Drosophila melanogaster: one gene and its partners. The protein of the gene in region 3 purifies or fractionates together with the protein of the main gene of each other region. This does not show direct contact. Each region holds a gene or a part of one and is shown on either strand. Other genes may lie near its edges. The genes, in order: Kmn1, Prp31, Nuf2 and Mis12.

What was found.
Region 1: the proteins of Nuf2 (region 3) and Kmn1 purify together in Drosophila melanogaster (affinity purification with mass spectrometry, with the first as the bait; 2 studies listed by BioGRID). This does not show direct contact.
Region 2: the proteins of Nuf2 (region 3) and Prp31 purify together in Drosophila melanogaster (affinity purification with western blotting, with the first as the bait; one study listed by BioGRID). This does not show direct contact.
Region 4: the proteins of Nuf2 (region 3) and Mis12 purify together in Drosophila melanogaster (affinity purification with mass spectrometry; 2 studies listed by BioGRID). This does not show direct contact.

The regions. Positions count from the first base shown.
Region 1 is NC_004354.4:11,570,290-11,575,153, reverse strand, and holds Kmn1 (kinetochore Mis12-Ndc80 network component 1), read left to right. Parts: upstream 1-2,711; 5' UTR 2,712-2,755; coding exon 2,756-2,963; intron 2,964-3,021; coding exon 3,022-3,365; 3' UTR 3,366-3,771; downstream 3,772-4,864. Other genes in the region: CG11696 (uncharacterized protein), read right to left, coding at 1-1,101, 1,171-1,296; Reepl1 (receptor accessory protein like 1), read right to left, coding at 1,630-2,352; CG11699 (uncharacterized protein), read right to left, coding at 3,854-3,985, 4,046-4,287, 4,378-4,444.
Region 2 is NT_037436.4:15,157,353-15,166,270, reverse strand, and holds Prp31 (Pre-mRNA processing factor 31), read right to left. Parts: upstream 7,172-8,918; 5' UTR 7,102-7,171; coding exon 7,003-7,101; intron 6,947-7,002; coding exon 6,495-6,946; intron 6,433-6,494; coding exon 5,814-6,432; intron 5,755-5,813; coding exon 5,419-5,754; 3' UTR 5,308-5,418; coding exon of another isoform or gene 5,172-5,307; 3' UTR 5,133-5,171; downstream 1-5,132. Other genes in the region: CG6878 (uncharacterized protein), read right to left, coding at 3,906-4,014, 4,138-4,268; CG7011 (uncharacterized protein), read left to right, coding at 2,776-2,863, 2,933-3,284, 3,434-3,771, 4,899-5,106, 5,172-5,307; Msh6, read left to right, coding at 7,784-8,785, 8,844-8,918.
Region 3 is NT_033779.5:7,062,720-7,071,031, forward strand, and holds Nuf2 (Nuf2), read right to left. Parts: upstream 3,119-8,312; 5' UTR 3,047-3,118; coding exon 2,746-3,046; intron 2,686-2,745; coding exon 2,313-2,685; intron 2,256-2,312; coding exon 1,742-2,255; 3' UTR 1,712-1,741; downstream 1-1,711. Other genes in the region: Sem1 (suppressor of exocyst mutations 1), read left to right, coding at 1,367-1,478, 1,534-1,661; Ugt307A1 (UDP-glycosyltransferase family 307 member A1), read left to right, coding at 5,264-5,919, 5,971-6,823; Pvf2 (PDGF- and VEGF-related factor 2), read right to left, coding at 7,442-7,592, 7,702-8,227.
Region 4 is NT_037436.4:6,965,541-6,973,367, forward strand, and holds Mis12 (Mis12), read right to left. Parts: upstream 3,509-7,827; 5' UTR 3,395-3,508; coding exon 3,325-3,394; intron 3,262-3,324; coding exon 2,969-3,261; intron 2,857-2,968; coding exon 2,674-2,856; 3' UTR 2,495-2,673; downstream 1-2,494. Other genes in the region: CG10064 (uncharacterized protein), read right to left, coding at 1-431, 495-711, 774-1,003, 1,076-1,780, 1,843-2,267; CG9953 (uncharacterized protein), read left to right, coding at 4,292-5,079, 5,141-5,279, 5,342-5,813, 5,886-6,013; CG10063 (uncharacterized protein), read right to left, coding at 6,118-6,689, 6,752-6,818; Galphai (G protein alpha subunit i), read right to left, coding at 7,803-7,827.

The DNA of each region.
Region 1 (4,864 bases), on a different chromosome or scaffold from region 3:
CTTGTGTCCTTTAAGATGCATGGTCAGCAGGAATTTCTTGGCAAAGCGCGCCTCGCAGATGGCACACTGGTGGACCAGCTCTTGCTGCTGCGAGTGGAAGCGCAGCATGTGCATCACCTGGCTGTTGCGGTTAAGGAAGTTCTTGCGGCAGCTCTGGCAGCTAAAGTACTGCGGATCCTTGTGGCAGTGCAAATGGTCGACGTACAGTGTCCGCTTCTTGTACCGATTGTTGCAGCACTTCACATAGCCAGTGCAGTCGTGCTCCACGCGAAAGTGGCGCTTGAGATCGTTGAAGTCTTCCAGCGGGGCGGCGCAAATGGCGCAGTCGAGCTTAACATTGGCGGCTATATAGTCGTCCATTTCCTTGATGCTGCTGCGCTTGACGGGCACCTCCGAGGTATCATCATTATCGTCGGCGGTTACCAGTTTCTTGGTCTTGGGTCGGCCACGTTTGCCGCGCGGCTTTGGCTGTTCGTCGGCATCTGGTGTTAGCTCGCCCCCGACATCTTCTTCGTCCTCCTCGTCTTCGTCGCCATCCTGATCATCCTCTGCTCCAGCACTGCTGCGTTTAAGTTCCCTTTGCCGGGCTCTTGATTCCCGTAATGATAACTCTGTGATCTTGGCCTTGTTCTGCTGTTTGCGCTTCTCGTACTTCCTTTTGATGATTTGATGCGTTTGCTGCAGCGCAGTTTTGCGCGGCCTGCCCCTGGGGCGCGGTTTTACCGGATCCGGCTCCGGTTCTTCTTCTTCATCTGGCTGCGATTCCGGCTCGAAGTCCGGTTCAAAGGTGTCGCCATAGTCACTGTCTTTTTCATCGCCCGCGGACAAGGCGTCGATGACGGGTTCGCACAGTATGTGATCCTTGATGTCATCGCCCTCATAGCTGAGCTTTGGCTCGATTGGCGACTCCGTGTTCCACACGACCAGGGCGGGCTCCGGCTCCGTCAGTTCGGGCAGCTCCGGCAATTCAGTTTTCAGCTGCAAGGAGCGGTGCAGCGACCGCTGCTTCTCCGCTACCATGGAACAGAATTGCTCGATCTCGGCCAGCTGCCGCCAGCAGCGGTTGCACAGGCACGTGGACACCACGTCGTTTTCCGCCAACTGAAAGCGAACAATTCAATCATTAGAAAAAAACATCTTTTTGGGGTAGAAAAGTCCAAATCCACTCACCACCAGCAGCAGATGTCGCTCGATCAGCTCGGCCAGCTGGCGATGTGCCGGTTGTCCCATTGGCGGTTCCTGGCCGAAAATGGGCACCCCGTGCTCAGCATCCTCCAGGCAGAGTCGGCATATCATCTCATAAAAGGAAGGACACAAATCCCGAGTCGAATCGCGTTAAATGCAGCTGTTTTTGATTCGTTGCTGAGTTTTGTTATGTGAGCGTTACCGGACCGCGAAAAGAGACCTCCGCGACTGATTGTGCAAACACAAGAAAATAGGCTAGAAAAAATAGCTAAGAAGATAACCAACACATTGGTTCAATATTTTGTGACTAAAATTAATCAATTTAAATGCTTTTTTTGTATAAACTTTATTGCGGTAAGGTTAGTTTATTTCTGAGATGTATGCTTTTTGAAAGCTCTGAACTTTGACAACTTCCGCCTGACATATTGAGGATATCAATTGATGTCACATAAACTGCGACGAAAGATTCATTTCTTGCTGGTTGCTTGATGATGGCTGACGCATTGGCTTCGGCGGCGGTATTGGTCTCTCCTTGGGCTTGGAAATAGGCTCCTTAATAACCAATAAATCAGATTCGGATCCGTGCAGCAGATCCATATTTAAATCGATATTTTCTCCCAAAACCTCGTTGATGGTATCAGATAAGTTACCCATCTGTTTCCGCTTCTCTTCCAACTGCCTTTTGGCTATGGCATCGTTGACCAGATCCTCGATGCTGGGCGTTATTTGGAGGGCAGGACGATGACCGCTGGGCAGGAGATAGCGATCTGCCAAAACCATCAAATGGCTAAGAACGGAGCAAACTTGTTGCCACACCAATTCGCCCCATTCCAAGGTGATACGTCCCAGGACCTGGTCGAAGGATTCGTTACAGCTAAAGGATCGCAGGAACTCCTCGTAGATCACCTCACTGCCGCCGCCCACAGAGGGCAACATCCAGAACAGGAGAAGCACCTTGAACTCACTTAGCAATGGAATAAATGCCAGCAGACCCGCTGTGAAATAATCAAAGGCCACATAAACTCCATAGGCAATCCAGTAGATTAACCATCCGCGAAGATCATTGACGCTACAATTCTGACTTTTCAGGATCTTGTAGGACGCGAATGCTGGATAGAAACAGCCCACCAGAAGGGACAGTATGTGTATCACGATCGCATAAATCATTATTTGGAAATTTTGGATAATCTTAAAATTTTGGATTTTGAGAAAGTATATATATAGCTGTGTATTCGGTTCTCGATTTTGTTCATTTGGTTTGACTACTTGAACAAATACAATAAATTGAAATGTGATTCTAAACGCAAGGCCTGCTTAGCATTCATAAAATGACTTATGCCCTATAACCCTTTTCCCCTTTTTTAGTTCAGCTTTTTTTCAATGAGTATATATCTTTTTATTAATATTAAAAGTGCAATTTTTTATATCGTATATTTTAATTTGTATAAAAGGTTTTGGCTTGAAAAGAGCCAGAGCGAATTACGTTCAAAAGATGTGGCATCACTGGATCAGCGATGGGTGTTGGCAAGCGTTTACGGATTTAAAAACTGAAAACAAACGAAGCGACGCGATGGAGCCAGCCGAAAGTCCAGAAAAATTAATGAAATTCGTACGCCGCAGTGACGTACTGGAATACGTGGGCAACACGAGTGCCGTCGATCTATCGAGCGGTGATCTCTCCGACATCGATCTCAAGGACGTGCCGGCCCAACTGGAGGCCACTTTGAAACCGCGTCGCTATGAAGCAAGCACTTTGTTTAACATTGACCTGGACGATAGTAAGTGCAATCCTTGTGGTTAATTAAATTGCCATTTACTTAACGTACAGACTTTCAGTCTGGGATCCTAGCTGTCAGGAGGACGAGGTGCAGCAGTACAAGGAGCGCGCCCAGAAGGAGCAGCAAAAGTTCTTCGACTTTGTAATGCATGCGGCACTGGACACGGACAATCGCAAGGTTAGCTTCAAGCCAAACAAGGAGCAGCAGCGTTACCTAGATCAGGGACCCAATTTGCAAAACTTCGTGCGAAGCTCGTTGGCTTTCACAAACGCGGCCATCCGATTTCAGGCGGAGCACGAGGACATGATGGAGCTGCAGTGCAATATGGACGATCACTACCTATTCATGCGGAACACCATGATCAACAACGCTATACACCAGAATATGGCCAACCAACGGTGACCCTAAGCTATGCATAAATATACATATGTGAATTGTAGATATTGATAAATTAAATTAAGACTCAGAGATTGTAAGACGGTTTGCTTTTGGCTTATACAGTATAATTCGCTTAGCTGCCTCGAGTACTTTGCACAATGCCTCGATGCAGGTAACTTAAAAATGCAGCTAACTTAATTTTTTTTTTTCTATTTTCTATTTTCTATTCACACAAAAAAATGGAAAAATAATGCAGATATCTTGCCGATGCAGCTAACTATCGATGCAGCTAAGCGAATTATACTGTATTTATTTCTACCCTAATATGTAACTCCCTAAGTTGCACTTCTGATGATGGCTGCCTTTAAGTCTGACCGAAAGAAATGAAAACCGATCAAACGTCTTGAAAACATTGTCTGTATGTAAACTGAAGTTAACAAAGGTTTCGTTTTATGTTCTGGTCTACTCAGGCGTTAGGTCTACTTTAAATTGTGTGTATATTTGTGAGCTGCTTATTCCTTGTTCCAGGCTGCCAGGTATTTCATGAGGTCCGTGAGACTCTCGAAATCGGTGCGGCTGGCTGGTGGTTCGTCCTTGGTGATTCTTGGCAGTGCATTGCCCATCTTGAGGCGGAACTCCTGGAACTGCGAACGAAACGAAAGATTTAAAGCGAAATTCATTGAACAAATCGGAGGCATGCTCACATCCTTGGCTCCGGATAGCTTCCAGAAGCCGTAGCAGAAGGCGCCGGTGCCCATCACGGCGTACAGTGTGCCCCAGCCCAGCGCCCGCAGGGCCAGGGTGGCGCCCTCGTCCATCAGGATCATGCCTTGCCGCGTTCCAGCCTGCTGGAGGACCTTGCTATCCGTCTTCTTGGCGGTGGCCAGCGTGCGCGAGAAGCCGAACAGAGCGGACACCCCGCCCACCAAACCCAGAAAGGCGGCGGCTAGAAAGGAGGATGAAATGGAGTTGTACTTCAGTCAGTTGCTGGCTGATATATATGCGTGTGTCTGTATGTGTTTGGAGAACCACCTACCCTGGATGCGGAACTTGCGCTCCTTCTCGGCGGCCACTGCATCCGCGCTGGTGCCGGCCTCGCTCATCCTTCTCAATTGCGATTTATTGTTGTCGTAACTACTAATGCCCGAATTGGATCGCACAACACAGCTGATTGCTTGACCGCTCTTGACAACCAACACTGGTGCCGCAGCTGCCACTGCCACTGACGCGTTCGCAGAGGTGCTAAGATGGCGGGAGGGAAGCTAGAAGTGAAGTGCTAAAAGATAGTTCAAAATATTCAACAGGTACTGGCCTTTCTCACTGACTATGAGAGTCAATTTGATTTTAATGTGCTGCATTTAATTTATTTGTTAAATTACTAACTAATACTAATAGATATATTTATATAAAAGATATAGCTAAAAAACGTCAGTCTGGCAACCCTGCTACAACGACCGCAATATGGTATGGTATTTCGCCGCTCGCCCTGCAGTCACACTTTTCGGTCGGCGTTGTCCGCATTT
Region 2 (8,918 bases), on a different chromosome or scaffold from region 3:
CGAATTAGAGCAGGACATCTGCACGGATGGATACAGCCTCCCGCGCGGGGATTCCCCCAATCCAATATCAATTTGAAATCTACACGGAGGGAAAATTGCGCCCTTTTAGTTTGATTTAGTATGAGCTAATTAAATTTTCACTTGCATTTCAAAATATAGTTTACAATAAATCTTAAAGCGTCTTATAATTGTTTATTTCATTTAGTTTTTTAATTTACTTCAAAATGTGATAGTGCTATCTATTTATACTATAGATACGTAAGTAAGTACAAAAAGCAAGTTCCTCTTGAATATTATTATGAATAATAGCACTTCCTTGACTATGGGAAGGAAAAAGTGAATTTGAGTTAGCGTGTCAGTAGATTAATATGTACCTAATTGTGTATCTATGTGCCTTGCATTTAAATTTAAATAATGAAGATGGTTTTTTCGCAGTGCGTATTCGAAATCGGAATCAGAGCCTGGGTTGGTGGCCAGGGCATTAAAGTGTCAATATCCATTAGGCAGTCCTGATTGTTTAAGCTGCTTTACGCCAACTTCTCTTCTGGCTTTCTTTACCCATTCTCCGGCTCCGGGTTCCAAGTTTCTTGACACGCTCTCTTCTCGCTCTTTTTTTTTAGCCCGGTTCTTTTGTCTCCGGAGTCTTTTATTGCCGGCAAAGCCGTAGCACAATGACTCCTTCTCCGCTATTTGTTCTGGCTGATGTTGGGCTCATTGTTTCAAATAAGAAATGACGCGAATTGGCTAGAGCGAAATGGTTAGAAATGCAAATTAGCGGGAGATAAGAGTGGGCGTGGTCGAGGGAAATGGCCATGGCAGAAAACCCGAATGCCCTGTGGCCATAAGTTGCGCAAATATAAGAGGATATACTAGGAAAAAGGGCTATGAACTTGTCAGTCGGCGAAGCCAAGGGATAAATATTTTTGAGACATTTTCAAATCCAATTTAAAAGTGACCCATAAAAGGACTAAGAACTTTGTGGCAATTTTTTAGAAAGGATAGATTCAAAAATTGAGTTTATATCTCGAAGTATATGTCACTTTTAAATTTTGCTTAAGGCCTAAATAAAAAAAACTTTATTTGAAAATGTGTAAGGTCAAAGTCAAGCTGTTATATATTAAAAATCCATGGTATCATTGTTTATTATTTATACATACATATTACATATTACATATTCACATATTTACATATTTACATATTTATACATACAGTTACACATTGTTAAAACTGACACTTCCACTTTTTTATGAACTTTCCCAGATCCAAAGCGTGATGCTCTATTCCATACCCTTTCCAATCCATTTACTTTAATTTAGAAAGTAAAAAAAGTGTAAAATTACCGCTGGCTAATCTTTGTCATCTGCTGCCTTGCCTGATTTTACAGATTTCTTGTCCAGGTAATTGCAAAAAAAAAGTGAAGTCGGCGAAAGAAATGACAAAGGAAACTGTAGAGTGGCCAGGAAAATGAGAAAGCATCGGGAACTTGAGCTTAATTGGTAATTACACAAAGTCGCGGTATGTTCTACACCTACATACAATTATTTGTGACCCTACATGGATGCTGGGTTCATGGACCTTCAATCAGTCGGGCGAAAAGCCATTTGGTGATTTATATTTAGGCGAAAACTTTTAACTTTAACCAAAATCCCCGGGGATAAACCACGGTCTTCTATTAGTCCGCTTCTTTGAAAGGGGTTTGTGGGGTGTGGGGGTTGCAACCCCTAAAAGCTAAGCATTAGCTGCGCGGGCTGTCGAAACTTGTGGTTCCTTTCAATTAACCTTTCATCTGTTTAACATGTATTATAAAATTAGACGCGGTCTCCTGGACCACAGCAGCAGCAGTGGGTTAAGGCGTCTGAGTGGGGGGGTGGTGTTATTGCCGATGGTGGGCAATGGCGGCCTAATGTATGCACAACCACAACCCCAAGACATGACAACACTATTAAACATTATTCGTGGCCATGGGAAAGGACGGCCAAGCGGAGGTCCTAATTGTCGCCGGGCCAACGCGGCGTATGCGCAATCAATGGGGTAAAGCTCCGGCTAATGAAGGATGAAATCAAAAAATCGCCTAAGTAAAAGTTAAAGCTTATATAAATGTAAGGCTTGACATTGGATTTTTTTAAATCATTGCTTATAGTCAGTGAGGGTATTTTGTATTCGTTAATAAACAGTAAATGTAAAGTGTGTATCAAAATCAATACCACCAGACGAATCAAATTTTGGGAACTATAAGAGCTAAATTTTAACATTAAATAATCATGCAGTTTCAGCAAAACTTTGCTTAAAATAAAAACATTTTTATAACCTTTATAATTTTAAATTGTATTTTTTTGAAATGTAATAATTGGCATGCATGTTGCTATTGTAATGCAATGTAAGATCTAATCATAAGTTTCTATGTTAATAAGATAAGCACTTAAATAAGCGTTTTATATTGTGTCAATGGCATTTACCTCTTATAAACGGATAAAATAGTTTTAAGATTTCTTGATGTGGCCCATTTATTTTTAAAACTGCATACTTATCTACAATTACTGCATCTCGCCCGATTTTTAACATGTAAAATGCGACATGTAAAGTAAGAGCTGGCATGTAGATACGGATACGATAACAGTCAATCGAACCGAACCACAGCGAACATCTGTTTGGCCGTACCATTGCGGCGTACTGGCAACGCCAATTTCAACACGTCACCTGTCTTGTGCAAAAACGATGTAATATTTATTGTTTACGTCTGCATTTCGTCTGTTTTGTTCCTTTTACGTGTTCACGATGAAGTTCGCCGACGTGCTGCGTCGCCTGGACGCCTATCCCCGCACACTGGATGACTTCAGCGTTCGCACAGTGGGCGGCGCCGCAGGTGGGTGCAGGTGTACAATTGATTGTGGCGTTAAGGAACCCAAACAACCGGCTTTTCTCTGATTTTCAGTTACAATTATCAGTACCAGCATCATAAGCCTACTGATCTTCCTCGAGGTCCTCAACTACATGCAGCCAACCCTAAATGAAGAGCTCTTCGTGGACACCACTCGTGATCACAAGTTGAGAATAAATCTGGACGTGACACTGCATAATCTGGCGTGCAACTACATCTCATTGGACGCAATGGATTCATCTGGCGACACACACTTGAGGGTGGACCACGACGTCTTTAAGCACCGGCTGGATCTCAATGGCGAGCCCCTCAAGGAGACGCCCATCAAGGAAATCGTTGCAGTTTCGCCGCCCAATAAGAATGTCACTTGCGGCAGTTGTTACGGAGCGGAGCACAATGCTACTCAGTAAGATAGTGAACAGCTTCTAAGTTCAACCATTAGTTCCACCTATTTTCGCTGACAAGATTTATCTAAGGAGATATCTGTATCTAGAGCTAATTATAGCAATGGCTTTCTAATCTCCCCCTTTTAATACCAACTACCATCCTATCTAGCTGCTGCAACACGTGCGAGGATGTTCTCGACGCCTACCGGCTGCGCAAATGGACCGTGGCCGTGGACAAGATCGAGCAATGTAAGGGCAAGTACAAACGCAGCGACGAGGACGCCTTCAAGGAGGGCTGTCGCATCCAGGGTCACCTGGAAGTGAATCGAATGGCCGGCAGCTTTCACTTTGCGCCCGGCAAGAGCTTCTCCATCCGCCAGTTCCACATCCATGACTTTCAGTTCAGCAATGTGAAGCTATCGCACACAATCAATCACCTATCGTTCGGCGAGAAGATAGAGTTCGCCAAGACGCATCCCTTGGATGGACTACGAGTCGACGTGGCTGGTGAGTAGTGAACACAAACACGGACTCGTAATTCTGTAACATCTCTATTGCAATAACTTAGCGTAATTTAAACAAGATTGGAGTAGGGCTTAAGGTTGTGGTTGTTTAGTAACTCTAGTCAAATGCCAGCAGGATCAGCAGCGAATCCCCGTGCCGATGGCCATAAAGGTGCCAAAGGTTCCGCCGCCCTGGACCATGGTCTTGCCCACGTTGTTGATCAGCTCCCGCCCGCGTAGTCCGTATCTAAAGTGTATTTCAATGTGGTTCGTTAGTTAGCCGGAGTAATTACATAATTGCCGGCCTCCACTTGCGTCACTTCTTTGGAGGAGCGCTAAGTGGAGCATCCGAGTGCAAAGTCCAACTAACCTGAGCGCCGAGAACCCGCCAAAGACCGCACCGCTGGCCATGCCCACGCAGAATCCGATGATGAAGCCCGTCTTCATCTTATCGAAGCACGTTGGTCCCTGCTGGGAAAATGAGCTCGTAGGCAGAGGCATGCCGCTAAGTCCGTGGTTTTCCTGGTTCACCGGCTCTATATGAGTTGATACCGCTGAGTAGCAAGCTCCGCTGCTCCGACGCACTTATGAATCTCGCAGAAGGTTCGTTTATTTTAGGAATATTCAAAATATTTCTATTTATTTCGGCACCGACTAGTCGAATAATTCGTAAACGTGTGAGTGTGAGCAGCTGAGTGATGGTGTGCGTGAGCTGTCAAATTATAGAAGGGTTGCCACTTTGTTTTTCGCTCGGCTTGCCTCGTTCTAGAGAAAGCCGATAGGGGGCGGTAGCTAAAAAGCGGGTGCTTTAAAATCAATTTATATTCTTTATTTATTAATATTATTAAAAAGCATACTTAAGACTGAAATAAAAAAAAACTAAGTTATTTAAGCACAGGCATCCATTTTAATTTATATTTTACTCCTCGAAGAATTTCTGGGAAACTTCGGAGGTCTGTTGTGTGGGGCATTTTCATTTTTTAAATTGGAAAAAATATACTCATTTGTTCGAATTGTGAAATACCTGTTTTTAGAAGCATGAAGTTTAATTCGTAATTACCTTACCAAATTAAATACATTTATCAACGACAAATGAAGTAAACTAGAAAATCTGCTCTCCTCTTTTTGCAGAAACCAAAAGTGAAATGTTCAATTACTATTTAAAAATTGTTCCCACATTATATATGCGAGGAAACAGCGACGGCGAGCCCATATACACGAATCAATTCTCCGTCACGCGATACCGAAAAGATCTTTCAGATCGCGAGCGCGGAATGCCGGGGATATTCTTCAGCTACGAGCTCTCGCCACTGATGGTGAAATATGCGGAGAGACACAGGTCAGTAAGCCACAAAGCTAATGGTTAATTTTACAAGTTTTATTGGTTGTGTTGTGTATTCCCAGCTCATTTGGCCACTTCGCCACGAATTGCTGTTCCATCATCGGAGGCGTGTTCACGGTGGCCGGCATTCTCGCCGTGCTGCTGAACAACTCGTGGGAGGCCATTCAACGGAAACTGGAAGTCGGCAAGCTCAGCTAACAACAATTCGAATCTCTTATGCAGCTTTACTACGCCTAACTCAATATACATTCGACAAATCTCCAAATAAAAGTGCTTAATTTTATAGAAAATAAGGATAGAGCTGTTCTCTTAAGTGGTCCGCTGTCCCACTGACATGAATCCGGATGTGTTTGAAAAGTATTTGGCATTGGCCTCCGTCTGCGAACGCTCCGCCGCCTGCGGATTCACAATCTCTAGACCTTGCAGTGGCGTAAAGGCCACACTGGATGCCGTTCCGGAGATTTGGCGTTTGACCGTGGTGTTGCCGCCGTACACCTGCTGTTTCTGCAGATTCTTGTGCAACGTTTTGCTAATGCGCACCTTGGTCTTCTCATCCACCTGGGGCAATCGGATGCGGCCGGTGCCAGTTTTGCCGATGGTGCCGCGTGAATAGCCCAGATCTCCTTGGTAGGCATCCTCTTCGATCTGAAAGAAAAGTTCAAAGATTAATACATAACCATTATATTTTTAAGCCAGAAACTTACGTCTCCGAAATTCATGCGGTTCGCTTGCTTGCGGAACTCTGTCAGCGCATATCGTTCCTTCATCTTGCGCACGCGTTTGCCTCCTCGCTTCTTCTTGCTTCCCTCGATGGGTTTGGGCAGCGGCTTTATGAACTTCACCGGCGGCGGCTCCTGCAGCTTGTCCAGCTTCTTTTCCACATCCTCCTTGAAGCGCAGTCCAATCTCCCCGTGGACACTCTCATGACAGGCATCAACACGAGCAGCCAGCACGGACTTGGCGGCCACCAAGCGAGCTGCCTTGCGTCGCAGATCTGGCGCAGTATCCTGCACAATCTGTGAGTAGTACACATAGCCAGTGTGCGGCAACATCTGCGTTTGTGAGAAGCCCGAGAGGGTTTTCTTTTGTGCACCCAACACCTGAACATTGCAGGCCGGCATTTTGGATAATTTGGAAAGGCCACCAGCAATGCCCAAGAGTTTAGCCGCCGTCGATGCTCCAACAATCATGGAAAGATTTGGGGCTATGAAGGTCATGCGACTTTCCACATACTCGTAGATCTTGGACTTGAAGTTATTCAGTTCGATGGCCATTTCGCAGGCCTCGTCGATCTTTGCCTTCTCCGCCGGTGTCAGCATGGTTCTGCGAAAGGGAATGGGATTCAGTGACATGTTATTTTGGGTTACACCGTTCAAATAACTTACCCCTGTGTGGTGGACGCCGTGACTGACACAATCATAATGGTGGCCTGCGTGAGAATAGCCTGCAGCTTCTCGTTATTTTTGACCTGGTCCAGGTCGTTGCCCAGCTCCTTGACCGCCAGCAAGTACTCGATTTCACCCACGATCAGGGAGTCCAATTCGGGGAATCGCTTCTGATACTTCTCCTTGGTGAACTTGTGCACAATGGAGATCTCGTTGTCAATGTCCACAGCTATGGCATTAGCGTCCACGATGAGGCAGTACTCTGGATCGGATTCTACGGATCCCAGCATTTCGGCTGCAGTTCTCTGGCGACTGGCATAGTGCTCGATCTGCTGCAGCGTGTTCTTCAGGCGCTCAGAGTCGCGCAGCTTGCACAGTTCCCGCACCGACTGCACGGTTACATCCACGTCCATCAGATTGGGAGCCGGCTTAGCCAGCTTCTCCGCCAGCAACTGTTTTGTGGGAGGGGAATCATTAGGTCTGATCAACATTTGCTTTGGTTCCTTACGCTCTCGTCCTCTGCACTGGCCATCTCCGAATCCTCCTCCTCCAGCTCATTGTCATTGTCTTCCTCGAGATCGGCTAAAAGCTCATCGGCTAGCGACATTTTGGCTTATTTCAAAAGTTTATTTTGCGATCTCGTGAAATTAAGTTTGTTTTGGAATTGAAGTGACCGTTGCTCAGCCGCCTTAGAATACCATGCGGTTCATTGAAAAAATACTAAGTATTAGCATGAAATATATAGGGTATTCATTTAAAGAATACCATAAGGCTATTCCACTGGATTTTAATTGATCAATTTGACCAAATTCAATAAACATTTCATGAACAGAACGATCCAATATCATAACTCTTGTTATTATTCTGGAAAGTTTCGATTTTCCTGCTTAATTAGAATTCTGTATCTAAAAGTAAAGGAATTGAAAATATGGTTGAAAATATAAGGTTGATGAAAATATAGGTATGGCTATCAATTGTTTTGCTTAATTCTTAACTATCACTCTTTATTTATTTTGGGACAACAAAGCCTAGATAAACACAGATCAAAAATGAAAAAAAATGACTTATTATATAAGAAGCATCAAATTGTAACGAAAAAATAAAATCTCCTCAGTGGTATTCGAAAATTCCAACGGGCACGAGTTCCCTAAATATACTAAATAGTCAAGCTACTATTTCGGTATTATTAAGCCACAATTTGACAGAATATTTTTTGGTTTTGGCGCACAATCGCAGCGTCTGCATCCTGGTTTTTTGAGTAACCTGGCAGACGTTTCTAGGCCATTGTCATGTCCAAGAAGTTAAACACCAGCGTGGGCGGGACGCCCACAAACACGCTACTAAATTACTTTTCCAAGTCGCCAGCTTTCGACAAAAAGAAATTGACTCCTAGCGTGAAAACAGATCCCGATGCATCCAAGAGCGAAAAGGAGAATCTCCAGAACCAGCAGCCAAAAGTGAAGGATGGTAAGAAAGAGGCTTCCAAGCCGGCGGCCAAGAGGAAGTTGCCCATTTCCGACGATGAGCCGGCCAGTGGTCAACGCAAGCGGAAGCGCATCGTTCAGCCGGAATCGGACAGTGAGCCGGAAATGGAGGTAACCAAGTCGGAGGACGACTTCTCCGATTGCGCCTCCGACTACGAACCGGATGAGAATGAAGCCAGCGATGATAGCGTTAGCAGCGGCGCGGAGGAGGTGTCGCCTAGCGAGAACGACATGTCCGTGGACAGTCCGACACCCAAGAAATCGCGCAAAAAGTCTAAGATTCTGAATAACAACAATAACAATGAGCCATCGAGCAAGAAGGTCAAGCTAGAGTCGACCATCCAGTTGGCCGAGGGTGCAACCTTTCAAGAAAAGCTGAAGAACCTGCAGAGCAATGCCAAGCAGGATGCTTCCTACGATGATATCGTGACCAACACGTCCAATCTGGATGAGCCCGTTGTTTGGCCGCACCAGAAACTAGAGTTCCTGCAACCGGACAAGATCAAGGACAAGGAGGGAAGACGTCCAGATCATCCGGACTACGATAAGAGCACCTTGCATGTGCCGGAGAAGTTCCTCAATGGCCTGTCGCCGGGAGTTCGACAGTGGTGGGTCCTTAAGTCGGACAACTATGACTGCGTCTTGTTTTTTAAAGTCGGCAAGTTCTATGAACTGTATCACATGGATGCGGATGTGGGCGTCAACGAGCTGGGCTTCACTTACATGCGCGGCGAGTTTGCTCACTCCGGTTTCCCGGAGATATCCTTCGACAAGATGTCCACCATTCTCGTAGACAGGGGCTTCAAGGTAATTTGTCCAAGGATAGCTCCTTTTCCCAGTAAAACTAATACAAGTTTTTCTTTAGGTGGCTCGCGTTGAGCAAACGGAAACTCCAGATATGATGACTGAGCGCTGCAAGCGGATCAAGGCCACCAAGTTC
Region 3 (8,312 bases):
ATAGAATTAACCACTCTCCACACACTGTAAACGATCACCACTACTTAAGTGGGCTGGCAGCAGCAGGACAGGCTCTTGTTCAGGGATAATCCAGATGAATGAATGTATGTCCCGATCCCACGGATATGTGTCCCATCCAACTTGTCGCCCCATTTAGCTACAGCAATTACGGAAAATCGGAGCTTGTAACAAATTGTTAAACGATGATAATAATTGCATTGAATTTAATTTGATTTGTGCGTAGAGCATCTGTGATGAATAATAATGTTTAAAAAATGACGGAGAAGGAGCGAAGTGGAGAGCCCAAAACCACACACAATACTGATCAACAATATTACTAATCAAATATAAGGTGTTTTATTCCTCGTATATAACATTAGCAGACTAAATGTAAACACAAACGAAATCAAACAAACTATTTAATTATGTAGATTTGCAGACCGCAACAACTAAATGTTAAATGTTGAACTAGAGTTAAAATTGTGAACTCTAGAAACCGAAACTAACGATGCAACAAAGGAGTATATATTTTGGCATACAAAATTTTTACCATTAAGTCAACTAAATGGAAGAATACAAATTGTGAAATATGTTTTATTTTTACTACATTTCGGACAGCACGAAAACCAGCCCAAAAATAGACAAAACTTAAAGTTCGCTATGCAATAAATCAAAAGGCAGCAATTCAAGAACGGAAACAATATGAAAAACTATACGCATATAACATATATATTTATTAATGTTAACATATGGTACATTTTTGATCTAATTGTTTAAAATAGCCAACCAGCAGCAACAGTTAAATTAAATGTAGCTTAAAACCCAAATGCTCAATAATCCCTTTAGCTTGAAAACTAAATAGCCAGCCGTAAAAATGTTATACAAATCATTAAATGCATATAAAGCCAATTTTAAAGTCTACAACAAACCTGAGAAACTTGAGATCTTAAATGAACTTCATTTTTAAAGTGCTTCAACTTTTTCGGGATTGTAATAGCTTGCGTTTGAATTCAACTCACAATTTAGTCGGGTGAAAAGCCTAATTACTTAATTCTTTTACTAGAAAAGGAGAAATATATTAGAATTATTAACGGCTGTGTCAAGTTGCCAAATATCTGCCAACATTTGTTTGTAATATTCTTAATTAATTCTTTAGCCTTTTTTTCTAGCTATAAAGTTAGATTTGACATCACTGTCGGGTGCCAACGGTATTTTGAAAGTATTTTTTCCTGTTCACTTGGGTATATTTCGACGGTACAGCTGCGGTCACACAATTAAAAGTGACTGGCATCATTTAGCAACAAAAAACGCGAATAGCGTCAAAAACATTGTTTTATCGCCGTTGGAATTAATAAAAGCACACAAAATGTCTGCCCCAGATAAGGAAAAGGAGAAAGAGAAGGAGGAGACCAACAACAAGAGCGAAGACTTGGGTCTCCTGGAGGAGGACGACGAGTTCGAAGAGTTTCCCGCCGAAGGTTGGACGCAATAATGTGGTGGTACATCGGCAGTTTCTAATCACTTTCATTGTAGATTTCCGCGTTGGCGACGACGAGGAAGAGCTAAATGTGTGGGAGGACAACTGGGACGACGACAACGTGGAGGACGACTTCAGCCAGCAGTTGAAGGCCCATTTGGAGAGCAAGAAAATGGAAACGTAAACCGGCACCGACCCCTTTGTTCAGTCCTAACCATAAAAACGAGCTGAGCTGTTTTGCATTAATAGAATAAAATCAGTATATTAAGTGGAATTCATCTGCCAGTTTTGTCCGAGAACCTCATGGATTTGCTCATTTAATATGGCATATAGCTGATCTTGCTCCAAATTTTGCTGGTCTAGCTCGATCAAGTGATTATTCAGATCCTCCAGACGTTTCTTGCGATCCTCAACATCGACCTGCAGCTTTTTGAGTTCATTTTGCACCTTGTGATTCTCGGCATCGTTTTCCTGGTTTCTTTCCTCGTACCGATGTGCACAAAGAGCGAGTTCCTGCTTCTTGGCCTCTGCATCCTGAAGGAGCTTCTGATAATTAACTTTACAGGTGGGCAACTGCTTTTCCACTGCCTCCAGCTGCTTGAAGCTCTCTTTGTAATCATCCACCTTGCACAGCGAAAGCACAGCCGTGGCCTTCTCCAAAGCGGTGGCTATATGTTGACTGTTTTCGATCATCCGGCGATGTTCATTCGTCACCTGTTTTTTACTGGCCAGCTCCGTCTTGCAGCTCTCGACATGCGACGATGCGCTCTTAATTTTCCTACAATGTTTGACATTAAAATAAGCACAGAATCTAGGCTTGCCCGACAGCACTTACTCTCGCAGCTCTGTCACTTGACTGTCCTCCACCACTAGCTGTTCCCAGTGACCGATGCGTTTGTCCAGCTCACCCTGCTGCTGCTCAATGAGTTCCAGAGTGTTTTCATGCTCGCTACAGGACTTCTTCAAAGGTAGAAGCTTTGCTTGAGTATCCTGCAAATCTTTCTTGAGTTTGTTTATGGCCACTTCGCAATCCTTCGTCTTCTGGCTGCATTGCTCCAGCTGTTGACTTTTGGCCTTCACCTCGGCGGTCAGCGAATCCTTTAGCTTAATGGCCTCCTCTACAGGTCCCAGCACCTTCTTTTTGAACACCTTGTAGTAGGCCAGATGGTTGAAAAGGTAGCTCAGCGTGGCGAGCGTTTTTTTAACAGCTAATAGCCAAAGAATTGTTTAATAATAATTGCTTATTGTAAGACCGGCTGCCGGCTCACCTGGTTTAATTATGTCCATATAGGTGTACGTCTTGTTGGGAAAGCTGATCTGGACGATGCGCTCCACTTGGCGGCACACTCGGATAAGAAAGACGCGCGCCTCCCGCGACGAGTGACCGAGTTCGGTGCCAATCTTATAGGGCGGCTCCAGGCGAAAGCCGAAACTCCGCAGATAGTGCACCATGATCTTGGTGACAATGGGCTCGGTGGGATTGGCCAAGTCGCTTTGGCAGATATTGATGTCGGGCATCAGGCAGTTGCCCTGGTCCATTACCCTTTCAATTTCGACTGATAACGCCATTCAATCCAGAGTTTTAATTTTTAATGGCAGTTTTTGAATGGAACGCCGCTAAGGGATCAGATTGATGTGACCAAAGCTTGCTAGCCCCAAAAAACCACTAAAATACTAACTCAGAATTTATGTGGTTTTCACACCTATAGTCCTACAGCAGATTCTCGGGTTTTTTTATCCGGTTTTCTTTCCCGGCAGCTAGAAAATACTGCATTTGTTCAGCGCAAACTTAAAAAGTAACGGAAAATCTGGCTAAAGTTACTAAGTTACATTTTTTATTGGTGAGTGAAAACTCTGGCTTCCTCCAGCGCTGCAAAAGATGATGCTAAAAATCTGATATGCCCGTACGGGGTTTTCTCCAAAACTTGGCCAAAAAAGGTGGCACAGCGAAAATAAAGACTGTTTTGTACTGCTAATAAACATACCTAACTATCCCTATCACTAGTTTTTTGATTTTCCAAAAATAAAATTTTTACAAAATTTCGCATTTTTGATAAGGGGTACCCTCATCAAAATTTGCAAAAAATTGAAGCCTCTTGGATCTTTCAGGTTTCAACACATATGGATAGGGAATTAAGTTACGAACTCAACGAGATATGACATTCCAGTTTTGGACAACTATTCTTATTGCTATTGCAAAAAACTCGTTATTTTTGTAACCAAAAAGGAACGAAAAGAAATTTTGCCAAAAATCGTATATTTCCAATCGCTGATTTCTCCATAACTTGGCCAAAAAAGGTGGTACAGTGAAAATAAATACTGTTTTGTACTGCTAATAAACATACCTAACTATCCCTATCACTAGTTTTTTGATTTTCCAAAAATAAAATTTTTACAAAATTTCGCATTTTTGATAAGGGGTACCCTCATCAAAATTTGCAAAAAATTGAAGCCTCTTGGATCTTTCAGGTTTCAACACATATGGATAGGGAATTAAGTTACGAATTCAACGAGATATGACATTCCAGTTTTGGACAACTATTCTTATTGCTATTGCAAAAAAACTCGTTATTTTTGTAACCAAAAAGGAACGAAAAGAAATTTTGTCAAAAATCGTATATTTCCAATCGCTGATTTCTCCATAACTTGGCCAAAAAAGGTGGTACAGTGAAAATAAATACTGTTTTGTACTGCTAATAAACATACCTAACTATCCCTATCACTAGTTTTTTGATTTTCCAAAAATAAAATTTTTACAAAATTTCGCATTTTTGATAAGGGGTACCCTCATCAAAATTTGCAAAAAATTGAAGCCTCTTGGATCTTTCAGGTTTCAACACATATGGATAGGGAATTAAGTTACGAATTCAACGAGATATGACATTCCAGTTTTGGACAACTATTCTTATTGCTATTGCAAAAAAACTCGTTATTTTTGTAACCAAAAAGGAACGAAAAGAAATTTTGTCAAAAATCGTATATTTCCAATCGCTGATTTCTCCATAACTTGGCCAAAAAGGTGGCACAGCGAAAATAAAGACTGTTTTGTACTGCTAATAAACATACCTAACTATCCCTATCACTAGTTTTTTGATTTTCCAAAAATAAAATTTTTACAAAATTTCGCATTTTTGATAAGGGGTACCCTCATCAAAATTTGCAAAAAATTGAAGCCTCTTGGATCTTTCAGGTTTCAACACATATGGATAGGGAATTAAGTTACGAATTCAACGAGATATGACATTCCAGTTTTGGACAACTATTCTTATTGCTATTGCAAAAAAACTCGTTATTTTTGTAACGAAAAAGGAACGAAGAGAAATTTTGTCGAAAATCGTATATTTCCAATCGCTCATTTCTCCAAAACTTGGCCAAAAAAGGTGTCACAGCTAAACTAATGACTGCTAATAAATATAACTAACTATCCCTATCACTATTTTTATGATTTTCCTAAAACGAAATTTTAACACATTTTCGATAAGGGGTGTAAAACTGGGCGACACATTTGATACATGTAACAATGAACTGGGTGAAACATAAAGGCGTAAGGTTTGAAGTTATCTGACTTAAGCACTTAAATAAATAGTTAAAAACATAAATAACTGTGCTCTTTGATTTTGTTAAATTTGTTAATGGCTCTGATTGGACAGCGCCGTGACGCCACAGTTTTCGACTTGATGTCGTTGGGTAACCAAATCGCTTGTTATCATTTTGATTGATTTATGGTGTGTCCGTGCGACTCTGCTAATTAGCTGCTAATGTAAATTTGAGTCGAGCGCCTCAGTCATGAAGCGTTCGCCGATCAGTTGGTCACTTCTGTGGATGGGCTACACATGCATTTTCCTGCTGGCCGATAGCCCAGCCCCTGTGGAATCCCATCACATTTTGGGTCTCTTTGTCAATGTGCACCGGTCGCAGTTAATGGTCCATTTGGCGGTATGTCGCGCTCTTTTGCAGAGGGGTCACCACTTAACCCTAGTCACCACATTGCCGCTGGAGGAGCAGGAAATTCAGGGAAATGTGTCACACATTTACATTCCCTGGCAGCAGCCAAAAGAGGAAGTATCCTCCTCGGACCTCATTCTGCGCCTGGAACGGATGTTTAGGCGTTTGGAGCATTCTGGAGATCTGCTTGATCTGCCGGAGTGGAAGATGTTTCTCAGAAATCAACCTAATACTCCCTATGATCTCCTCCTCTTGGGCTATCATTTCAACGATCATCTGCTGGGAGTTGCTGCGCATTTCAATTGTCCAGTGGCCATAGTTTCCACCCAACAGCCAACTGGATTTGTCAACAGCCTTATGGGTAATCCCGAGGAGCGTTGGTATGTCCCACAGCCGTATGATGGCCAACAGCGAAGTGGAATCTCGGCCTGGGTCTTTGGAATGTGGGAGAAGTTCATGGAGATTTTGGCGAGGAGAGTGCTGGCAAGGATCTACCGGTATGTATCTAAACGCAGTTGTTTAGCGATCAATTGAGATTTTCTTTTTAGTTTGCACTTTCCCGAACCGCAATATCCCAGTTTTGAAACCATGCGACGGTCGGTGGTTCTGGCTTTAAGTAATCATCACATGATCAGCGAGGGTCCCATAGCTCCACTTATTCCCAGTATGGTGGATATAGGAGGTATAGTCCTAGAGCAACAGCTTGATAAGACTCCTCTGGAAATATCAGCCGGCAATCGATCTCTCATCATCTTCAGTTTGGGCACTCGTTTCACTTGGCGGAAGTCCACTAAAGAACTGGTGCGGACTTTCACAAAAGCTTTTGCTCAGTTTCCGGACTATGACATTTACTGGACCTACGATGGTCCAAATGGTAGTGCCATCAGCTTGGATTACCCTCACCTTAAAGTCGCCAAGTGGTGGCCCCAAACGCAGATGTGGCAAAGTGGCAAGGTTCGATTGTTCATCACTCATGGAGGCAAAGGCAGTGTCTCAGAAGCTCTTTTTTACGGAGTGCCCATGCTGGGACTACCCTTAATTGGCGATCAACGAGATAATCTTCAGAGAATGCAGTCGAAAAACTGGGGTTTGACCTTATCCACCAACAATCTGACGCATTGGAAACTAGCGAAGGCCATAACTAGAATGCTTAGCGATTCGAGTTATGGTGAAACTATATTGAAAGCTTCTCAATTGTATCGCGATCGTCCAGTGAGTCCCAGCGATTTGGTGACCTATTGGATCGAGTATATCGTTCGGCATAAAGGAGCTAAAAATTTGCACAATCCCGCCAGGCAACTCAATATAATCGAATATCATTCCATCGATGTTTATTTTATAGTTTATGGGCTCTTAATCCTAACGATTGCCATACTCAGAAAAGTGAATAGCTTGCTGTGACTAGAAGTATTATTTATTGGATACAAAAATATATTAAATAAGTAGCTAGGAGGTCAACTTAATCGACAATAACTTAAGTACACTCGAATGTTGCTTGTCAATACTTCTGATTGGAACATGGGAATCTATTTAATTTATTTTTAAAGAGGACCGAAAATGACAGTTACTTAAGAACTTTTCTATGAAAGCGTTACAGTGATTTTGAGTTCGACAGATTCTTATGATTTTAATAAATAAAACACTGTAGACTCTTTCAAAAAAGTCCAAAAGAACTAATACTTTCAGTTCTCAATGTCTGATTTTATCTAGTTTCACTGGCATCTTAAACTCAGCTTAATTAAGATTACATTTTAAGTGTATTTTCTGTAAAGTAATCACTTGGTCCAAATATGAATTTGAATCGGTCTTTAATATTATAATATTATTACTCATAATACTAACAACCAAACATAGTATGCCTTTAGTTTGCTCGCTTATCCGAACGAACAGTTCGGATTTCTGGATTTCTTTGTTCTATGGCCATTGCGTATATTTAAACACAGTTTTTCTTCAAATGCCATGAACTTTATAATGTAGATTTAAGTTCTGGCGTTTTCATTCTTTCAATGGGAATTTGGTTTAGCTTTTGCCATTCTGACGTTTTGACTGCAAACGCTGTTGCAGATTGGGATTCCGATTTGGAAGACCCGGGCGTGGACATCGACCGTTCCTCACATCATATGCCCCGTAGTTGCAAAACGGCGGACTGACTTCTCCACTTTGAATGCGGCTGAAAAAATAAAAATTGGGGGTTTAACAAAATTATATGGCACTTAAAGCATTACGTAATGATAATATTGACAAAAAATGGTTTAAAAGTGCTTAAACCTTGAACTCACCGTCGTTCCATCACCGAGAATCCCTCAACGCCGTTTTTCAGCCTCTTGCACGTTTCGTCGCTGAGGTGGCAGTCGCATCGGCAGCGCTGCTCCCTCCGCTCCCACAGACGCAGCTCCAGGTGCTCCTCATTCTCCCACTGCGCACGCGATCCCGCCCAACTGAAGTCCTTGAAGTGCTTGGGGCATAGGCAAATGGGACTTCGTTTCCGGCGCGTTTCCACCTTCACACATCCGCATTCCGTGTGGTTCTCCATCGAGATAACGATGGGCTCATTGGAACGGCCATCCACTTTGTCGAACACCCGATCCACCGTTTCGTTCCTTTTCATTTGGCAGGTCCAACCCGCATTGCAGCATCCGACTTTGTCGCTGCATCTGTGCAGAATTGTGGCACGGGGCGAGTAGAACGTGTTCGTTTCTCTCGTGATGTGGACCACCTCCGGTCTTGGAACCCGGCAGATACCCTCCTTTGCCATCATCAGTCGGTGTGCCTCGACCCTTTTTTTGAGCTCCCTGGTACGATTATCTGAAAACGGTGATAATGGTTGAATTGTATATATAAAGCTTATTCAAACTTCACATTTTTTGTAAGATTCGTACAGAGCTTGTTA
Region 4 (7,827 bases), on a different chromosome or scaffold from region 3:
GTAGCGAATACTTGGTGACATCCGGCGGATTGGGCCTGCCCCAGAAGTCACGCGGCACATCCCATATGATCAGCGATCCGTCCGTGCTGCCGGTGACAAACATGGTCATGCAGGGACTGTACGCACAACTGATCACGGAGGAGGCGTGCTCCGATCCGATGCCCACCACAGCACCACTGTTGTAGTCCCACAGCTTCACCTGCAGATCGCTGCCCACGGTGATGAAGTAGTCACCCGTTTCGTTGATGGCCAAGCAGTTGACCGACGATTTCTTGGACGCAGTTAGTTCCCTGATCAACGCTCCATTGTACACCATCCAGTAGATGATTCTGCCGTCCGAGCCGCAGGTGATCACTTGCACTCCAGTTGGGAAGTAGGATGCGGACATGAACTGCGTATTAGCGGTCACCACTTGTTTGCGGGTCATGCGTCTGGTGGGGATTACTTGGTGAATGAGGAATACATGCTATACTTTGCCACTGAGATTAACTCACTTAATGTCCCAGATTACACAAGAGCCATCGGTGCAGGCGGAGATCACTTCGGTGTCGAGATAGTTGATATCCAGCGAGGTTATGGGCCCCGAGTGATCCTTCAGCACGCCGACGAGATCCTGGCGATACGGATCGATCTTCCACACCCTCACCTGTCCCTCGATGCCGCCAGTGACGATCAAGCGACCCGACGAGGCCACGGCCAATGCACTGCAACCTGTGTTGAACGAGAGGATTTCAGTAAGAAGGCTTAGAAGGATTGGTATTCCCAAAGTTCACCTTTGTTGTGCGCGTTGGGTATGGCGTAGATGAGTCTACCGGTGATGGGAGTGAAGGCGCGAATGATGCCATCGTTCCAAACGGAGACTATGCTAGTGCCATCGTGGGTAAAGCGCACGCAGGCGCAGTTGAAGTTGTAAACCATGATGCGGAGCAGCTCCTGCTTGCGACCAGACGACCAGATGCGGATGCACTCCTTGCCCGACGTGGCAAAGACACCAGAGTAGTTCCTTAAATACATATATATGATCAATTGTAGCAAATAGATTGCAAGTAGAAGGGTTAGTTCCATCCAAACTCACTTGGGAAACGTGATGCAGTAGACCGATTTGGTGTGGCACGTTCGCAGCAGCTTGAGCACCCAAGTCTTGATATTCAGCCCATAGATCTCGTTGGTGTCCGTGCAGATGTAAAACATGTCCGTTTTCGAGCGCACAAAGGACGAGATTCTGCCCGAAACGTGCGTCTTTTTCAGGGTGCGCAAATATGGCCATGTGGGTCCGGGATAATCGCGAAAGTTAATGAGCGGCACATCGGTACGCTCCTCCACCAGCTCTATATCACCATTTCCCGCTCCAATCAGCAGACGTCCGCCTTCCAGGACATACAGTGCACGCACACCATTCACATAACGATTGCAGTCCCTGCCCGTTGGCTTCCTGGGATTGTGGGTGCCGAAGGCTCCGAGGATGCAGCTGGTTGAGCCTTGTTTGCTCACATGATCACGATCGCAGCAGTTGAGCACGATCTTTACAATGTCCCCAGTTCCGGTGCCCAGATAGGCAAACTCATCCGTCTTATTGATGCGCGCACAGTAGAAAACCCGTGTCTTGCTGGCCATTAGGACATCCTGTACGTACAGCTTCTTCTCCTCACGCAGGATGCTCCACAGACGCAGATGGCGATCGCCGGCGGTCACAAAGAAGTAGGGATTGTTGTGCAACGGCCGGACAGTCAAGGCATTTCCAGAGATGGCCCTCGATGCGGGTGTTTGGCAAATGGGAGAGCTGTAATGGCAAACGAAGTCATTGAAGGAGTTCAAGCATGAGCTCTGATATGAACAACTTACAATGCCTCCATGTCGAAGACAATTACGGAACCATCATCCACGCCACCGATGGACACAACGCATCTATCCTGGGCAGTAAAGCAGATGGCCTGCACAGATACCTTGTGCAGATCGTGGCGAGCGATCTCCTTGCGCTGATCGTAATTCCAGATGATCACATAGCCGCGGAAGCCCATGTGATTGATCTGACCGGAGGCCATGTATTTGCCACTCTTGCTGAGATCCAGGCACGATATGGTGTTCGTGTGTCCGGCCACAAACTCCTGCGTATTCTTCTTGTAGTCGGCGATGCCGATTTTGTTGCCCAGCGCAAAGATGATGGATCCCGTGACCGGATGCTGGCGCACTCCATTCTCCACCTTGCCATTGATGCCGAAGATTGCGCGCGGCAGCAGCTGCCTGCAGACATCGTGCGAGTCTCCCATTTTTCCAGGCTTATAGCAAAATATACGATTCGAAATGTAACATATAAGGGGGTTTTTGTGTCTGTTCTGTGCTTGAAACTTTTTAACCGGCTTGTTTTCTGTTTGAAAACAAGGCAGTTGGAAAATTTAAACAGCGACCGTTGCTTGGTTGCCGCTGTTGTCAAAGGAACTAATATAATGCTAAGGTAAATTGGTTTAAAACTAGTAAGTAATCATCTAGGTGTTTCGGATTCATAATAATTTTAATTTAATTTAATTTTAAGTTTAAAACTAAGTTAACGACATAATAATAGGTAAAGTGGAATATAGAAGAGTCTTAGTGATTATAAATGACTCCAGGGTTAAAACTAGTTTCGAAAGAAGATATTGGAAATGTAGATTAAAAAACTTGATCCAGTTAGTTTATTTAATCAGTCTCCTTCTTTATCTGCAGGGGCACTTGATTCCAGAATTGCTTCAGCTTGGTGATGTTGAGGGAGGAGCAGCTTCGCTGCACGCGATCCTGCATTTCGATCTCCTTCTGGATGAGATCCTCCATGGCGGCGTACTTCTCCTCCTCGATCTTCAAATGCGCCAGCATGGCCATGTTCTGAAATTGATGTGATTTAGCATTATTAAAACATAAAATAAAGCATCCTTTTCCCCATTATAATGATTAAAATGAGGCATACAAGATAGTTTCCATTGGTTCTACAAGTTACCTCTCTGTATTTGGCCTTCAGCTCCTCCAACCTGGCTGTCTTCTGCTCCTCCTCTTCGCTGGTATACTGATTCTCGACGAACATGTGCTCCGGATGCAGCACATGCGGTGGAACGTGGAACACTTTGCTGTCCAGTTCCCTGAGGGCTTTTAGGCCCTTGGAGGCGGATGCCTGGAAACGACGCTCAACGGTCTCCTTCTCGGCTTCCAGCAATTCCGCTGTGGCGGGTGTCTTGATCTTGTCGATGATCTGACCAATACCCTTCTTAATTATGTCCTGCACAATATGTTCGCCTATTTAAAAGGAATTAATGGATAAAGGACGCTGATCCAGAGATATAAGGATGTAGCACTCACGCTCTGCAGACAACTGTGCCGCTGTGAAATTGAAGAACTTCTGATCGTAGGCTAGGCTATTGAAGTCCATTATGACAGTTAACAACAATATTTTTTTTAAATTATATTACAATTAAACTGGATAAAAACGTAAACAATCCAAATTGTCGCGCAATTAGTGTTACCGTTTTCAGAATACAAAGAGATGCTACCACAGCAACAGTGCTGCCATACTTAGCTACAAAATCTAGTTACTAAATTTGGCTACTTATAACTGACTATACAGATGAAAAATATAAAAACAACGCATACACATGCACAATTTCCTAAAATTTTTGACAAATACATTTATTAAGCTTTCGCATTAACGGCACAGTGAAACTCCACAATAATATTTACCTAATATATGGAATAATTCAAATAAACTATATGTTGTTTATTAAAGCTACCTAAAGCATTTGAAATTCAGGAAACTTCCATTAAATTAGTTCAGTGAGAATTTAAAATTACACGCAGATGGAAATTATCAAAGCATGCAAGAATGTATACTTTTCTTAATTACTTGACAAAAATTTTGCAAAACACGTTCACATTTACGGTGCTATTAAGCTCATCGATAATATCTAGCTAGGAAATAATATAAATAAATAAAAAGCTAAATTAAGTTTTGTAAAGTTACCAGAACACTTACAGCATACAGAAATCTTTCTCTGCTTAAAATTAAATTAATTCAATTAATGATTGAAATCAATAACTATGAATGCCCCTACTGTTTTAGTTTTGCTTTGCCGGCTTTGCGAATATAGATAATACAGCGAGAACTGAATAATCAGGAGAGTGCGACACACATAACGGTGCCTATATAAATAGAACACACCACTCTCCTTCAGTCGCTATTTACAGTTAGGCACTGTGCGAGGTTCCAACTAATTAAATACTTCAATTACTGGCAAATTCTACTTGACCCGAACAAACAAAGGAAGCAAATATGCTTTTCATTGGGGGCGTTTTGAGGCCCTTGGGAGTGGGTCTTCTGCTCCTGGGACTGCTTGCGCCCATTTCCGGAATGGGATTTCGACGCGGAAGGCTGACCAAGGGATTCCTCGGGGAGCCCAGCAAGATTCCAACCCTGCAAAGGAGCCTGCACTCGGAGGATCTGTGGTTCGAGCAGCGATTGGATCACTTCAAGTCGAGCGATAAGCGCACCTGGCAGCAGCGATACTTTGTGAATGCCGACTTCTATCGGAATGACAGCTCCGCACCCGTATTCCTGATGATCGGTGGCGAGGGCGAGGCGTCGGCCAAGTGGATGCGCGAAGGAGCCTGGGTGCACTATGCCGAGCACTTTGGAGCGCTGTGTCTGCAGTTGGAGCATCGTTTCTATGGCAAGAGCCATCCCACCGCTGATCTGTCCACCGAAAATCTGCACTATCTCAGCTCGGAGCAGGCTCTGGAGGACTTGGCCAGCTTTGTAACCGCCATGAAGGTTAAGTTCAATCTGGGCGATGGCCAGAAATGGATCGCTTTCGGTGGCTCCTATCCGGGATCGCTGGCCGCCTGGGCACGCGAGAAGTATCCCGAGCTCATCTACGGTTCAATTAGCTCCAGTGGTCCTCTGCTGGCTGAGGTTGACTTCAAGGAGTATTTCGAGGTGGTCAAAGCCTCTCTAGCTGCCTACAAGCCCGAATGCGTGGACGCCGTGACCCGCAGCTTTGCGCAAGTGGAGATTCTACTCAAGCACATGATTGGACAACGCAGCCTGGACGAGAAGTTCAAGTGAGTGGATTAGGCTATCGTCCTGCACAAATTTTAATTTTGTAAACCATTTTATACTCAGAACATGCACTCCCATCAAGGACTCCATTGAAAACGACCTGGACATGGCCAATTTCTTTGAGAATCTGGCTGGCAACTTTGCTGGAGTGGTGCAATACAACAAGGACAACAGTCCCCATGCCACCATCACCATTGACGACGTGTGTTTCATCCTCACTTTGATCCCTATCAAGTCCATACTAAGAATGTTTGAACTCCATAGATCTGCGATGTCATGCTAAACACCACGGCTGGTCCACCTGTGACCCGTTTGGGCCTGGTCAACGATATGCTATTGAAGGAATCGAACACCACCTGCCTGGACTACAAGTACGACAAGATGGTGGCGGACATGAAGAACGTTTCCTGGGACTCGGAGACGGCCAAGGGAATGCGCCAGTGGACATATCAGACCTGCCACGAATTCGGCTTCTATCAGACCTCGGATAACCCGGCTGACACATTTGGTGATCGCTTCGGTGTCGACTTCTTTATACGCCAGTGCATGGATGTGTTCTCCAAGAATATGAACGCCAAGTTCCTCAAACTGGTGGTGTCCGCCACAAATGATAACTATGGCGCCCTAAAGCCAAAGACCACAAATGTGTTGTACGTGCACGGTTCCATTGATCCCTGGCATGCTTTGGGCTTGGTCAAGTCCACGAACGCAGCACTTCCTACCATTTACATAGAAGGTATGTGCTTACCAACACATTTTTCACATATAACTTGGGTAATGTAAGCATTTATTGTGTTTTTTTTTTTAGGAACCGCTCACTGCGCCAATATGTATGAGCCGGTGAAAACCGATCCGCCACAACTGGTGGCCGCTCGCAACAAGATACTCAAATTCTTGGCCAAACTACTGGATGGCTACACCTCGGCGTTAATCTGATGGAAAAGTGGCCAAGTCAAGTGTAATTTTGTACTCGTCAGCGAGTTGTTTTATTTTTTGCTTTCGCATGAGTTTTATAATATATTTTTCGGCTCCGCTGGGAGTTAATCCTTCTTGGCCTGCTCCATTTTTTCGTGGAATCGCTTCCAGTAGTGCTGCACCTTGGCATTTTGAACGATATTGTGCTCGACAAAGTTGAGCAACCAGGTGGCGGTTAGGTAGGTCAAGTCATAGAAGAAGGCAACCACGCGAAAGAAATACTTTTCGGTCTGCTCCTTGCTAGGCAAGTTGGCCATGACATCCTGCAACTGCTTGGCGGCCGCCTCCTTGGCCTCCGATGCCTTCTTCTGCGCCTCGGTCATCTTGTCCTCGTTCGAAGTGCCCTTGCTGCGCACGATGGTGCTGGCCTCCAGTGGCTCAGCTCTGCCCAGTTTACCGCCTGCGTTCACTACGGAAATAGTTGGCGCCTGCACCTCGCCAATGGGCACATCCTTACGCGTGGTGTTCTCTGGGTTATTGCCCAAGGTGGATGGAAACCCTGGAGCCGCAAATCCAGGCGGCACGTTCTTGGGCTTCTCATCGCCGCCACCTTCGGCGGAGAACTTGCGGTCGAGATTCAGGAACAGAGCACGCGGGCGCACAGTATTGCCATTGAGGCGATTCAATGTGGAGTAGTCTTTATGGTGGGAAAAGGCGTTAAAGTTTGCTAAGAAAAAAACACGTGCCTGCTTCACTTACTCCACGCTGTGACCAGTGGTCCCGCCACCGACTTACTCCATTTGGTCATTACCATGGCGCGAATCATTTTCCAAGTTTAAGCAGATTAAAAATTCTTCACTGAAGCAATTGACAATTTCAACAAACGAATTAATCCAAAATGCCTGACAAAAAGCAGAATGCGGCAAGGCCAACTTGACAATCATCAGCCAGAGTTGCAACTCTTTCCGAAGAAAATCCCATTTTTTTTGGGAAAGAACGCTAAGTTCAAAAAAGCTAAACCTAAAACAAAATTACTGTTTCTAATATATTTATGAAAATAGGCACAAGCTATAGCTCTAAATTGGAATATACACTAAACTAACTGAGCAATGATCAACATAATTTAAGGATCCTAATATTTATTTTACTAAGTTGTCAGCTCTGTAAGCGCACATGAAATAATAAGCAGCATTGGCAGCATTCAAGTACGAATGGTTATTTTGTATAAATTGTCTTTTATTTAGGCTATTACTAAACATATTAGTAAGTTTACTAGTTACATTTTAGGGCTTACAACTCCAGGCCTTAGGTTCACCTTAAATAACGCTGTCAAGCTCTTGGCAAAGAATAAACGTCCGGAAAATGGCTTGCGCCCAAGGAGACACCTCTGGGGATTTCTGGATGTGGTGCTCCCCTTGGTCACCGCCATTAGCCCGCGAAACTTAACTAAATTCCAAAGGGAGCCGATCGGGTTGAGGTTTTAGGATGTACAAAACCCACCGGCTGTCCTTTGTCGAACTTTACATTTGTGTGGTTAGGCTAATGTTTAAATTAGTTAGCTTATGGGTGCAATTTAATGGACACGGTTAACTAAATTGCAGCTGGTTAGGTTATTTGTTCCGCGACTACTGGCAACCAAATCGGTTATTAAAATTACGTGTGTCAAGCATGTAACGCATTTAAAACATATATGGATCGTACGAGCGTAAATGTATCGAGTTCTTAGCGTTTAATGGAAATGTTTATGCGCGTTTTCCTTTAATACTACGACGCCAGCTAAATAATGATGATCTTGTGCTCCGCCGCCCTCTCAGAATAAGCCAATTTGTTTCAGA